Linked DNA regions of Arabidopsis thaliana. The protein of the gene in region 1 interacts with the protein of each later gene in a pairwise test. Each region holds a gene or a part of one and is shown in the gene's direction. Other genes may lie near its edges. The genes, in order: AT2G34750 and AT3G12930.

Region 1 (6,967 bases):
CAAGTATTAGATGAAAGAAAAATACTAATCATTTAAAAACATAGAATGTATGAACAGAGCTCCCTCTCACTCATTTCCCTCCAGGACCCACCACCAAATATATATACAAGTAAACTACCCAAATAAATCAACTCACAAGTTAACATCAAGGAAACAAAAAAACACACAGTTCCTAATTGAGTTGAGACACATAATCTATTAAAGAGAAAAATGGCTTAACCAAAAGTTCTTTTCAATTGAATCATTCACTATTGTTGCAGTGAGAAACAATGAGGCTCAAAAAATAAATTCACATGTTTTCGAGACACCTTCCTTTCTAGCAACAATTGAGCATTTTTTATTTAGCCTTCAATAACAATGCGTAAACAAAGTTTTAAGATAGTTATGATTCGTTTTTTGAGAGTCAATAACAAAAATTATCCGATCTAAACCACTAAACATCAAATCAATGGAAATCTCAATGTTTCCAGAAAAATGAAATCTATCTAGAGAGGAAAGGAAACAAATACGGATTCAAGAGAATAGATTCGAATAGAAACGAACCTGATGGATCTCAGCGACTCGAGACGGAAGAGAGAATCGCCGAGATTGTGAATGAATCGCCCCGGCCCTGTTTTGGAGGTTTGCGTTGGTGTGTGTGTGAGAATTAGATAGAGAAAACAAGGTCGGTGTAATATATCTTCTAGATGGAATCTGGACCGTTGATTGTGAGAGATGCCTTAGATCTCGGAGGCCAACGAATCGTCAATATATTCAAAAAAAACAACGGCTGTGCCAGGTTGTTGCTCTTTTGGCTCTCTTCATACATTAGCTGTTCATAGCCTCGTCTTGTCACTTGTCGTCGCACTTATAGGATTCCCAATTTTGTACGTTGCCACAAATAAACAACATTACACTATATATATTACAAATTCAACTTATATGGAAAAGAAAAAAAATACTAGGATACTCATACACTGTGTGGACGATTACATTTTAGACTTCGAATTATTGGTCTTCTGCCAACAATGTCAAAAGATTTTATTGACTGCTTTAATCATTTTCCATAGAGCAATGAGAAAGTCAAGGATTAAAGTCGGTCTCTTCTTGAGTAAATATTAAATTCGAAGATTGTGGCAGCTAGATAATAATCATACTTTCGATTTTCTTATTGAGTAAAATAAAATTTGTAAATGATTAATTCATTATGCTTATTTTTAGGATTTTGATGCGGCCTCTTATGATGTAGAATCATTCACTACCAGTACACGTGACCAGTGTCAAGCATAGTGTTTGATTATAATTATTTTATTTGCTTTAGTACTATAGAATGTTTCTTTAATGCTTAAAATCCACGATTAATATAGCTCACTCGACGACGCTGGTGTGATGACAATTGATTAGTCTTTGTCTTTTATGTCTAACTTAGAGATTTGACAACGGAGCTTAAATAGTCAGCATAATGAAACAGAAGATAGAAATGAAAGTAGTAGTGATACGGTTAATCAAATGTTTGGTTAGCACTTTTTCCAGAAAAATGGGTTGGTTCCATTTCACAAATGTAAAAGAAGTAAGATATTGGTTATATCAGCCTGATGTTGAGATAAGCTTTCTTGCATTGGTACACAGAAGAAGGAATGGACGAGATGGAGTTTAATGAAGCAGAGAGTAACATGAACGATCTTGTGGCTGAGTATCAGCAATATCAAGATGCTACAGCTGATGAAGAGGAGTATAAAGAGGAGATGGATGAAGATGCTGACCTCGATGCTTGAGATTTTTAGATCTTTAAATGGAGTTGTTTTCTTTTCGTATCCGCTGGCTTTGATTGCTCTTTTGTCTGTTGTTTTGGGTGTAAAAATTGTAATGAGAAACTAATTTGTATGTGTGTTGGCCCTAATCTTTTCTCGTTTTGGTTTATATATATCTGGTTTGGTCTTATTTAGTTATGGTTATGTGAGCAATCAAAGTAGACCAATTAACCAAAAATAATGTCTATAGTTCACTTACTTAAATTAAGTAAAAATTTGTGTTTGTCACACGACAGAAACATAGAAAACAAAATTTGATGTAATGACGACAATAGTGAAGAAAAAAAAAGATGGAATTAAAGAAATAGGAAAAAGTAAGTGTGAACCCTAAACGTCTCCTATTATTTATCGATTATCGCCGTCTTTCATCAGAATCTGCTCCTTCTCTATTTTTCTTCTCCAAGAAAAAACCATAGCGAAGGAGTAAAAAACGAAGGCCGGAATTATCAGAACGGGACAGTGACAAGGGTTTCCCTGAGCTGACGGACCCTTTCAATTATTCATCCTCGTGAGTTCTCTCACCGTCGTATTTTGTGTCTTTATACTAGTTTTCTCTTGTAAAATCTGTAATCAATGGAGATTTTACTTGGTTACATCGATTCTTATAGCTCTCCTTTCCCTATTTTCGCAGCTGATAGTCTATATAGCTTCAATACTTAACATTTAGTCTAAATTCAGAGACTTTTCCAGATATTGTTTCTAGTGAGTTTAAATTGAGTGTTTATGGTGTCTTGAGTATAAGTTAATGTTGAAAGTTTTGAGATTTCTTAATACTTCTCTTGTCCATCAGGAAAGTTCCACACTTTCGGCAACTTGAAGTAGCAGCACGATTTACATTAAGTCCAGAGAGGATGGGAGCAGTAGAGCTTATGAGTGATCCATCGAGCTTATGCACAGTCGAGAACTATGTGGACAACGTTGATTTATCTGATACGCAATTGGTGCAGACCGTGAGAAAGGCTCTTACATCTGTCAAAACTGTGAGTGTTGTGCAAGTTTTGCTTCTTCCTCTGCTTATGTGTTTACAGTTATATATATTTGATGCTATATTATCTGTTATGCTTCTTGATACTAGTTTTATTAATTCTTTGCTAATGACAGGGGGACTCAGACCTTTATAGTGAGATGGTTGGAGTTATGGCACGGGACATCAAAGAATTTAAGGATCCTGATGTAGTGGCGCAGCTTGAGGTGTGATCTATTCTTTGTATGGCAATCAATTCTTTCTTATTTGTTCTTTTTCTGTTTGCTAAAGTGTTTTCATTTTTCAATTGAACTGGCAGACAGTCTTGAAAGCTCTATCAGGCGCTGTGGCTTGCATAGATGTCCTTCACCATCAAAAGCTTCTTTCTGCGGTAAGTTTCTATTGCACGAGCTTACAATTGCTTCCAATTTAAATAGTTTTAAGATGGATCCTCCCAAATCTTACCCTGGATTTCATCCCAATTGTTATGTCTAGCTTTTTCGAATGAAATTGTGGGACCACAGACCTGATGTCATGGATGCATTGGTGAACCTTGTCATATCACTGGTACACAACTCAACATTTACCCGCCTATTGTTATTAGTCTAGATGAAGAGCTAGACCATTTAACTTTTGCCTTTTTTCCATCGCAGGCTGTCACTAGTGGAAAGTATTTAGACTCTTGTCTGAATATGCTCGTAAGCAACTTCGTTCCACCTCCTTGGGTAGTGAATAACCTTTCGCACTCCCGTATACTAAACAAGAAGATAGACGTTCTTTCTCGGGTGCATGCAGCGCTTCTGAAAATCTCTATTTTGGTTCCTCTTACTCCCTCAAGATTAGTGCCAATGCTCTTCCAGCAAATGCCCAAGATGCACAAAAAGGACCATGTGAGTCTTTCTTTTTGGTAAATTTTGGACAATTTAGTTGTAAGCTCATACTGGCGATAAACTCATACGAAACTATCTTACCGCCTTGCAGTCGATAGTGATATATGTGGAGAGCTTATTAAAATTGGAGAATAGCTCAATAGGGCAAGTTGGTGGCAGCATGATTCTTGGTATGGTGATGGAGAGGCTGCGAGATTTGGATGTAAGTAGACAGAATATGCTTATACAATTGAGGTCAGTAAGTAATGTGGTATTGGTGAGTGAATGATATGCTGGTGTATCCTTGTAGTTAGAGATTGAATGGGATGATATTCCACAAGATGACTCTAGTAGAGGAATGTTTGATATGGAACTTGAAGATGCAGCTGAAGGCACTATGAATGATGGAGACGAGGTAGACTTTATGTTTATGTTTCCTTTTGGTATCAGTTAAAAGTTGCTAGATAACAAGTTAGTTGGAACATTCTTTTTGCTGAACTACGAAAGTTTGGACTTGATTTATCTATTGCAGCTTCCAGTGGGACCTCTAAAGCAGGATACATCAGATGGAAGTATAGTCTCTAAGTTGTTGGACAAATTGATGGTCGTAGCTTTTGAGCATCTTGAATCCTGTCAAAATGATGGTCGTTTGGATCAGGTATGGCACCAAATGGGACCTCATTGACATATGCATCTATACTTTCCTTAATGATGGACTCGAGAATCTTCTTAGCACTTCTGATTTTTTTTAATTATTTTGGCGTAGGTGTTTGAAAGCCTCTTCAAGTCATTTGAAAACTTCATTCTGAACACATACAAATCAAAATTCACCCAGGTAGTCCATATAGCTATCATATTTTGCATAATTATGTACATATTCTTCTAGACTCTAGCATGGTCGACATGAAATGTCTCGGTTTATACTCACTTTCTATATCATCTGCAGTTTCTGATATTCTATGCCTGCTCACTGGATCCTGAAAATTGTGGTGTGAAATTTGCTAGTAAGCTAGTGGAGATTTTTCTCTCCAGCAACAAGCATGTAGCTACTAGGCAAGCATCCCTTCGGTTTAAATTTTCTCGTTCGCTGCATGATATGTTCTGTCATTGTTCTAATCACAAACTTGGTTGTGCTTTTGTCTCTCCCCCTTAACAGAATGAGTGCGGTGGCTTATCTTGCTAGCTTCTTGGCTCGTGGAAAGTTTTTGCCTGTTTCCTTTGTGGCTAGCATGTTGAAAAGGTGGAAGCGATTTCTACAAAATGTCACCTCAAACATAATCATTTTATCTGATTGAAGCTTCAGTTTGTTGTAACTTGTAACATTGTTTTTGTTGTGTCCAAAAATTTTAGGTTGATAGATGAGTGTGTGGGTTACTGCAGAACTTGCAATGATGATACTAGGCCTGAAGCACATCAGATTTTCTTCTCCGGATGTCAGGTATATATAGCATTCAAGCCCAGGCCCCTGCTGTCACAAAATTCTACAATCACTCTGTTGCTATTTCATCCTCGAAAATATTTTTTTTACCTGTCCTTGAGAGTTTTAAGTTTCAAAGAGTCATTCCAAAATGTAGTTACATTATTTTAAACTGTCATTTGAATCTGTTCTGTGACCACAGGCAATCATGTATGTGCTCTGCTTCAGGATGAGATCCATCTTGGATGTTCCTCGCTTTCGGTCCCAGCTTACACCATTGGAGTCAATATTAATGCACAAACTAAACCCATTGATGGTGAGTTATCTTTTCGTCACATAAGGTCAACTGTTATATGGAAGTGTGCCAATGTATCAAATGCATGATAAGCGAATTCTGCTTTGAGAATAGGTATGCCTTCCATCGGTAGTTGCGGAGTTCCTTAGACAAGCTAAAGAAGGTGGTCTGTTCATCGTCTCAGACTCGTTCATTTTCGATGACCTACTTGAGTCTGAGCTTTCCCGTGCTTTTGGCGGGTTTGAGAGGCTGGATACATTCTTCCCATTTGACCCTTGCTTGCTAAAATCCTCAAACAGGTTCATCTCTATCTTTAAACCATTGCACCGATTCTTTTACAGGAATCTTAATTGAAAGTCTTGACTCTGTTTCTGCATTTTCTTGGGTGATGTTGTAGCTTTATCTCCCCAAATTTCATCTACTGGTCAATGGTCAAAGCGACCTATGACGAAGATGATGATGATAATGATGCTGAGGTGATCGTGAATGGAGATGAGGACAGTGACGAAGATGACGAGGCTGATCTTGATTACGCCCTGAACAAGATGTCCATAACGCCTAAGCACTCTTTCAAGAACAAGATGGAAAGAGACAGACTTTTAAGAATGCCTTCCAGGATCAGACCGTCAACGAGTCCTGAATCCTTGTGATTCTACTATACACATTTTTGTAGCAATATGTAACAGTGATTCGACTGAGAACATATTATTGTATGAAACAATGTTTGTTTTCCTTTCAAAAAACTGCTTAATATGTGGTTCACCTAATGAAACATTAAAGATACTTGAATCATTTAATCGATCCATTGAAGGAAAGAAACAACAACACAAGAGATATCATCTTTACTTCCTCTAGCCAAGGCTTTATCAATTAGCATTTTCGCAGCTTCTTCTGCATTCCCTCTCTTTTTGATTTGATCCCAAACCTCGTCGTTCGACATCACCTGACAAAGAAACCAATCAAGATTTAGTCCTATCTTTGGGTGCACCAATTAATAACGTCCCATGGCATTCATATGTAGAAACCTTCCAGAGTCCATCGCTAGCCAAGATCAAGAACTTTGTGTCATCGTGGATCTCGGCAATCTCTATGTTCGGGATCACACTTATATGCTCTTTAAGGCCTCCGTCTCCAAACGCACGCGTCATCGCTAGTTGTCCATCCACTCTCGGAACATTGCCTAATCATTATAAGTAACATGGGTTTATTGGCTTTGCCTTGGAAGTCCGAAATAGATCATTTTCTCTTTTCTTCTTAGTAAAAGATACAAAAGAAGGGACCTGGCTTTTGGGAGACAAAGCCGCCTTTGCTCTTGACAAGATCTCTCTCTTTGTCAGGTTCGTGATCAACCGTAATTTGTTTGACTACATCACTTTCACGACACAAGATTGCTCTTGAATCTCCAACGTTTGCAACCACAATTTTCTTCCCATCAATTACTATAGCCGTCACAGCCGTGGAGCCACCTCGTGGACCAACCACGTTTTGAAGAATGTAGTCGTCCGTAGATTTATACGCTCTTTTGATTGCCTTCTTAGGGTTTCTCCAAAAATCCGGCTTCATGAAACAACAACAACAAAGTCTTTAAATTCTGTGAGAAATTCTTGAGAGGGGAATGAGTGAGTTTTTGTT
Region 2 (4,152 bases), on another chromosome or scaffold:
TTAGATTTCAGAATGCAGCTCTTTAAACAAACAATTTTGCGGATTTGAAGTATTATCAAATGTCTTAGAAAAAACATTAATTTAAACCTCTTCTAACAAACCAATGTAACTTGACAACAACCAATTAGTATAAAGGAGCAAAATATATTATTACAAGAATTAGAAGCAACGGTGGTATTCAACGATGGAATTTATACGCGTATTAATATAAATAAATGAAAGATTTTGGTGGGGGAAGGGAAGTTGATATATAGATCAATGGAGCTCATTGTCAACATTCAAACATCTCATTACTTCTATCGGAAACACACTTAACAAAGACTTTAATTTCCACTCCTTCTCGCACCTCATTGTTACAAAACTTCTCATTTTTATTTATTTTGTCTACTCCATATTCCACGATATTTTTGACCGTTGCACTTGAATTCATGCACCAGCATGTGGACCCACCTAATCTATCTGATAAAGTTATAATTGAGTAGAGCAGCAAAAACTCATACGAATTTTCAAGTCTTTACACGTTACGTGGATCCAAGGCAATTTGTAGATCGAGACGGAGCCGTAATTATCGAGGACTCATATAAACAATATTATTAACGTATAACGTAGTATAAAATAAAAGAAACATCTCCATTATATGGGTTACTCACTCATGTACCTTCACCTAATCCTTCTGACCTATCCCCACGTTAACGTTTCATTTTGGAATCAGATGCCACCCACAACTAATCTCTCTTTCCATGTTTGATATGAATCGTATTTATCCTCTGTCGATAGCTCCAATTTGACTAAGTTGTCATATTTAAATTAATTAACTAGTGTGTTAATTAGCTGCCAAGATTGATTAACATATAAAATCTTTGGGTGAAGATAAGGAATCAACCTCACCCTCCCACCCACTACACATATGAACAGAAAACAAGTGAAATCGATAGGTCTTTCTCTTTTCTCAATATAAATATGGATATTAATTATACAATAACCATAATGGAAATTAAAAAAAAAAGGAAATGTGAGACCATGAGAAGACGTGAATTCACTGTCAACTTTTAAGAGAATGCATGAAAATGTGTAGAGAGAAAAAAGGGGTCGGCAAAAGAAAATGAATGGCTCTTCCTCTCCAATTCCATTACACCACATTTCTCCGTGGATTTATGTCAATATCTTTGAAAATTTTGTGTGTTTTGAGTATAGATGTGATATAACAAAAGAAAATGTCAGAATTGTAATGAACAGAAAAATAAATGGTACCCGAAAAACCAAGAAAAAAAATTAATAAGAAAAATGTTGACAGGAAGGTAGATGTGCGGTTGTATTATTTGCAATGTCCCTCTCTTGCTCTATAATTACACAAACTTGTCCAATTCATCACACTTCCCCAACCAAACTTGTTTGCTTCATATAAATTATTTTATAAAAAGTATATAATGTATGCAGGCAGAGACATGTGTGTGTCTGTGTAGGCTACTAGCTACCTCTCTTTTTCATAAATTATATCGATTGATTCCGTGGGATTATGACCTATGTGAGACTGTGACATTTGAGGTTTTTTTGGCCCTCTGTGTTATGTACTCATCATAGAATGCGACATTTTTTTATTTATATATATATGATTAATGATCAATGCCAATTTGGGAACTCTAGTAAGTATGCTTTTAGTGGTCCACCCCCATTTCTAGTCTTATCTTTTCGATAATTTCGTTTCTCATTTATTCCATTCTCAACAATCTTGCCTGATAATACCAACCAATCAAGTCAGCTCCATTTTTTAAAAATCTTAGAATAAAATCTAAACAACAACACACAGTGATAGAGAACATTCGGCTATGGAATTAGAAGTTGCCTGCATGTTTATTATCTGTCTATCTGATATGGATCCTTGAAACAGGCCCATTTCGAGATATTAGAGGCCCAAAACGAAAATAAGAAATAAGCCCATGATACGATGTGTGTAATTAATTAACACAAAATTGAATATCATTAAGTTAATACTTTTATCAGAACAAAGGCGAAGGGTTTTAGATATCTTATCCGCTTGACGAGTAGAGTTTTCGAAACCAGCGAGATTAATGGCATCTTCCACCGGTCTCACCGTCGCCGGAGCTCTGCTTGCCGGAGATTTTCGATTACCAGCTGTATCGTCTCTAATACCCAGAAAGACTTCTTCTTCATTGTCATGCCTTAGCAACAGAGATTTATCGTCTCCTTATAATTGCTGTTGGCGACTATCCAGAGGCAAAATTTTGACTTCTCTCAGTAACTCACGGAAATTTGCTGTGGGAAAGGAAGCAGAAGATGGGTTTCTATCGGTACGATCAAACTCTTACCGTTTCGATTTTGCCTTGCAATTTCTACAGTAATTGTATTTGTTCTAGGAAGTAATTTGGTGCGAATTACCTGATTAAGTAATGCTTAAGAAAGATTAGAACTTTAGAAGTGCTGAGTATAGTTGGTTTGACAATGCGTTGTGCAGAATGTGAGCGAAGATACTGATGAGATGTTCGACGACTTGTTCAACAAATATGGGAAGGTTGTTTTTAGAAGCACTGATGTTAAGTCTCCAACAGCTGAGGTTGACGATGATGCAGAGAGTTTAGCATGTAAGCCAAAGCCTTATATTCATTTGCAGTATATATTTCTTGACCTATTTGGCTTTAGCAATGGTATTGATGTTGTTATTCACATTTGTTGCAGTTGCTGTTGAATTGGCTAAAGTTGCGAGTGATGTGAAAGCTGGAGATATTAAGGTCCTCTTTGTCAAGCCTCTTGTTTACTGGACTCGGTTTTTCATCATTGCCACTGCGTTTTCCCGCCCTCAAATTGATGCAATAGGGTACAGATTTATTTAGACTTGCTCATATATTCCACTTTGGAAAACATCAAATTTACTTTCTCTTCATGAACTGCGAATGCAGATCCAGGATGAGAGACCTGGCTGAGAAGAAGTACGGAAAAGTTGCTAATGGAGATGTAAAGCCAAATTCGTGGACGTTGTTAGATTTTGGTGAGTTTCTTCTTGCGTTGTTGGCATGCCTCTAGTTCAATGTGTCATGTGAGGGTAAAATAATGACAGTTTTATGTTGATTGATATACTTTTAGGTGATGTGGTGATCCATTTATTCTTACCTCCGCAAAGGACATTCTATAACTTGGAAGACTTTTACGGGAATGCTATGCAAATTGAACTTCCCTTTGAGGATCAGTCACAACCACGGAACTGATATGATGAGACAGTTTGTTCCAAAAAAACAAAAAGTAACAGTTTGGAAGAAGAAAGTCTGTTGATTCTCTTCACTGGCTAGAGTCATGCCACATGAAGGCTGTAGATTTTTTTGTTTGTTTGTCCAGGCAATGCCTGATTGGTTACACTACACAGCTCTTGGCGTGAGGGGTTGATGGGCCAACAATATCAGGAGATCTCAGACATGTTTCTAGATTGTTTGTTGGGTAGAGTTAGACCCAAACTGTGTTCCGGCTTTATGTAATGTATGCTTTAGGATGATTCTTCATGTTATGGAACACACACTGACCAAGACTCTAATCTAATTTGCTTTCAACAGCAACAAAATTCATGCACCAAAAGAACTCAAATCTTATTCATCAAAATCACTGACTGGCCATATGAGATGGTTTTTGTGCATAGATGAGAATCCTGGAACATGCTATACTTGTATATTATACAAAGGCACAATGTACAATGAGTCAGATAATAAGAGTCACTCATACAGCTCTATCTTGTCTCCCTGTTCCATAGATCATACACAGCATGTGCAACCACTGACACTGAAACCTGACTAAGAGTCAAGGCAACCAAGAGACCAAAACTGGAAGACTCATTTTCGCATCTCCTGCAATCAAAGAAATGAACTGGTAACCTCGGGATCAAGTCTCAGCGAAAGGAAAAGGAGTGTTATTGGGTGAAGAATGGTTACAGTTAGTCACATGTTGGTTTCCCTGAGCGGTTTCAGACAGACTGAACTCCATGTCATGTGTTTCAGACCATCCAGGCTCATATGTCTCAAGGAAACCGATTTTCGCTTTATTGGGTAGGTCGTGAGGATGAACAAATGGAACTCCGTGCGGCCACCCGATCTCCCTTCTTATATTAGCACAAGGGCTGTTCATTACATTGTGGTTATTCTCGCACTCCTT

What was found.
Region 2: the proteins of AT2G34750 (region 1) and AT3G12930 interact in a two-hybrid assay, tested with the Arabidopsis thaliana proteins (one large-scale study listed by BioGRID).

The regions. Positions count from the first base shown.
Region 1 is NC_003071.7:14,659,467-14,666,433, reverse strand, and holds AT2G34750 (RNA polymerase I specific transcription initiation factor RRN3 protein), read left to right. Parts: upstream 1-2,029; 5' UTR 2,030-2,298; intron 2,299-2,580; 5' UTR 2,581-2,641; coding exon 2,642-2,770; intron 2,771-2,891; coding exon 2,892-2,981; intron 2,982-3,073; coding exon 3,074-3,145; intron 3,146-3,249; coding exon 3,250-3,321; intron 3,322-3,407; coding exon 3,408-3,644; intron 3,645-3,735; coding exon 3,736-3,846; intron 3,847-3,933; coding exon 3,934-4,038; intron 4,039-4,155; coding exon 4,156-4,281; intron 4,282-4,389; coding exon 4,390-4,458; intron 4,459-4,569; coding exon 4,570-4,676; intron 4,677-4,779; coding exon 4,780-4,863; intron 4,864-4,973; coding exon 4,974-5,061; intron 5,062-5,242; coding exon 5,243-5,356; intron 5,357-5,449; coding exon 5,450-5,634; intron 5,635-5,732; coding exon 5,733-5,985; 3' UTR 5,986-6,128; downstream 6,129-6,967. Other genes in the region: AT2G34740 (protein phosphatase 2C family protein), read right to left, coding at 6,129-6,278, 6,361-6,515, 6,616-6,892.
Region 2 is NC_003074.8:4,126,396-4,130,547, forward strand, and holds AT3G12930 (Lojap-related protein), read left to right. Parts: upstream 1-1,938; 5' UTR 1,939-2,069; coding exon 2,070-2,309; intron 2,310-2,473; coding exon 2,474-2,600; intron 2,601-2,694; coding exon 2,695-2,833; intron 2,834-2,915; coding exon 2,916-3,004; intron 3,005-3,099; coding exon 3,100-3,221; 3' UTR 3,222-3,561; downstream 3,562-4,152. Other genes in the region: AT3G12940 (2-oxoglutarate (2OG) and Fe(II)-dependent oxygenase superfamily protein), read right to left, coding at 3,883-4,152. UniProt on the Arabidopsis thaliana protein: May be a ribosome silencing factor. Involved in plastid biogenesis.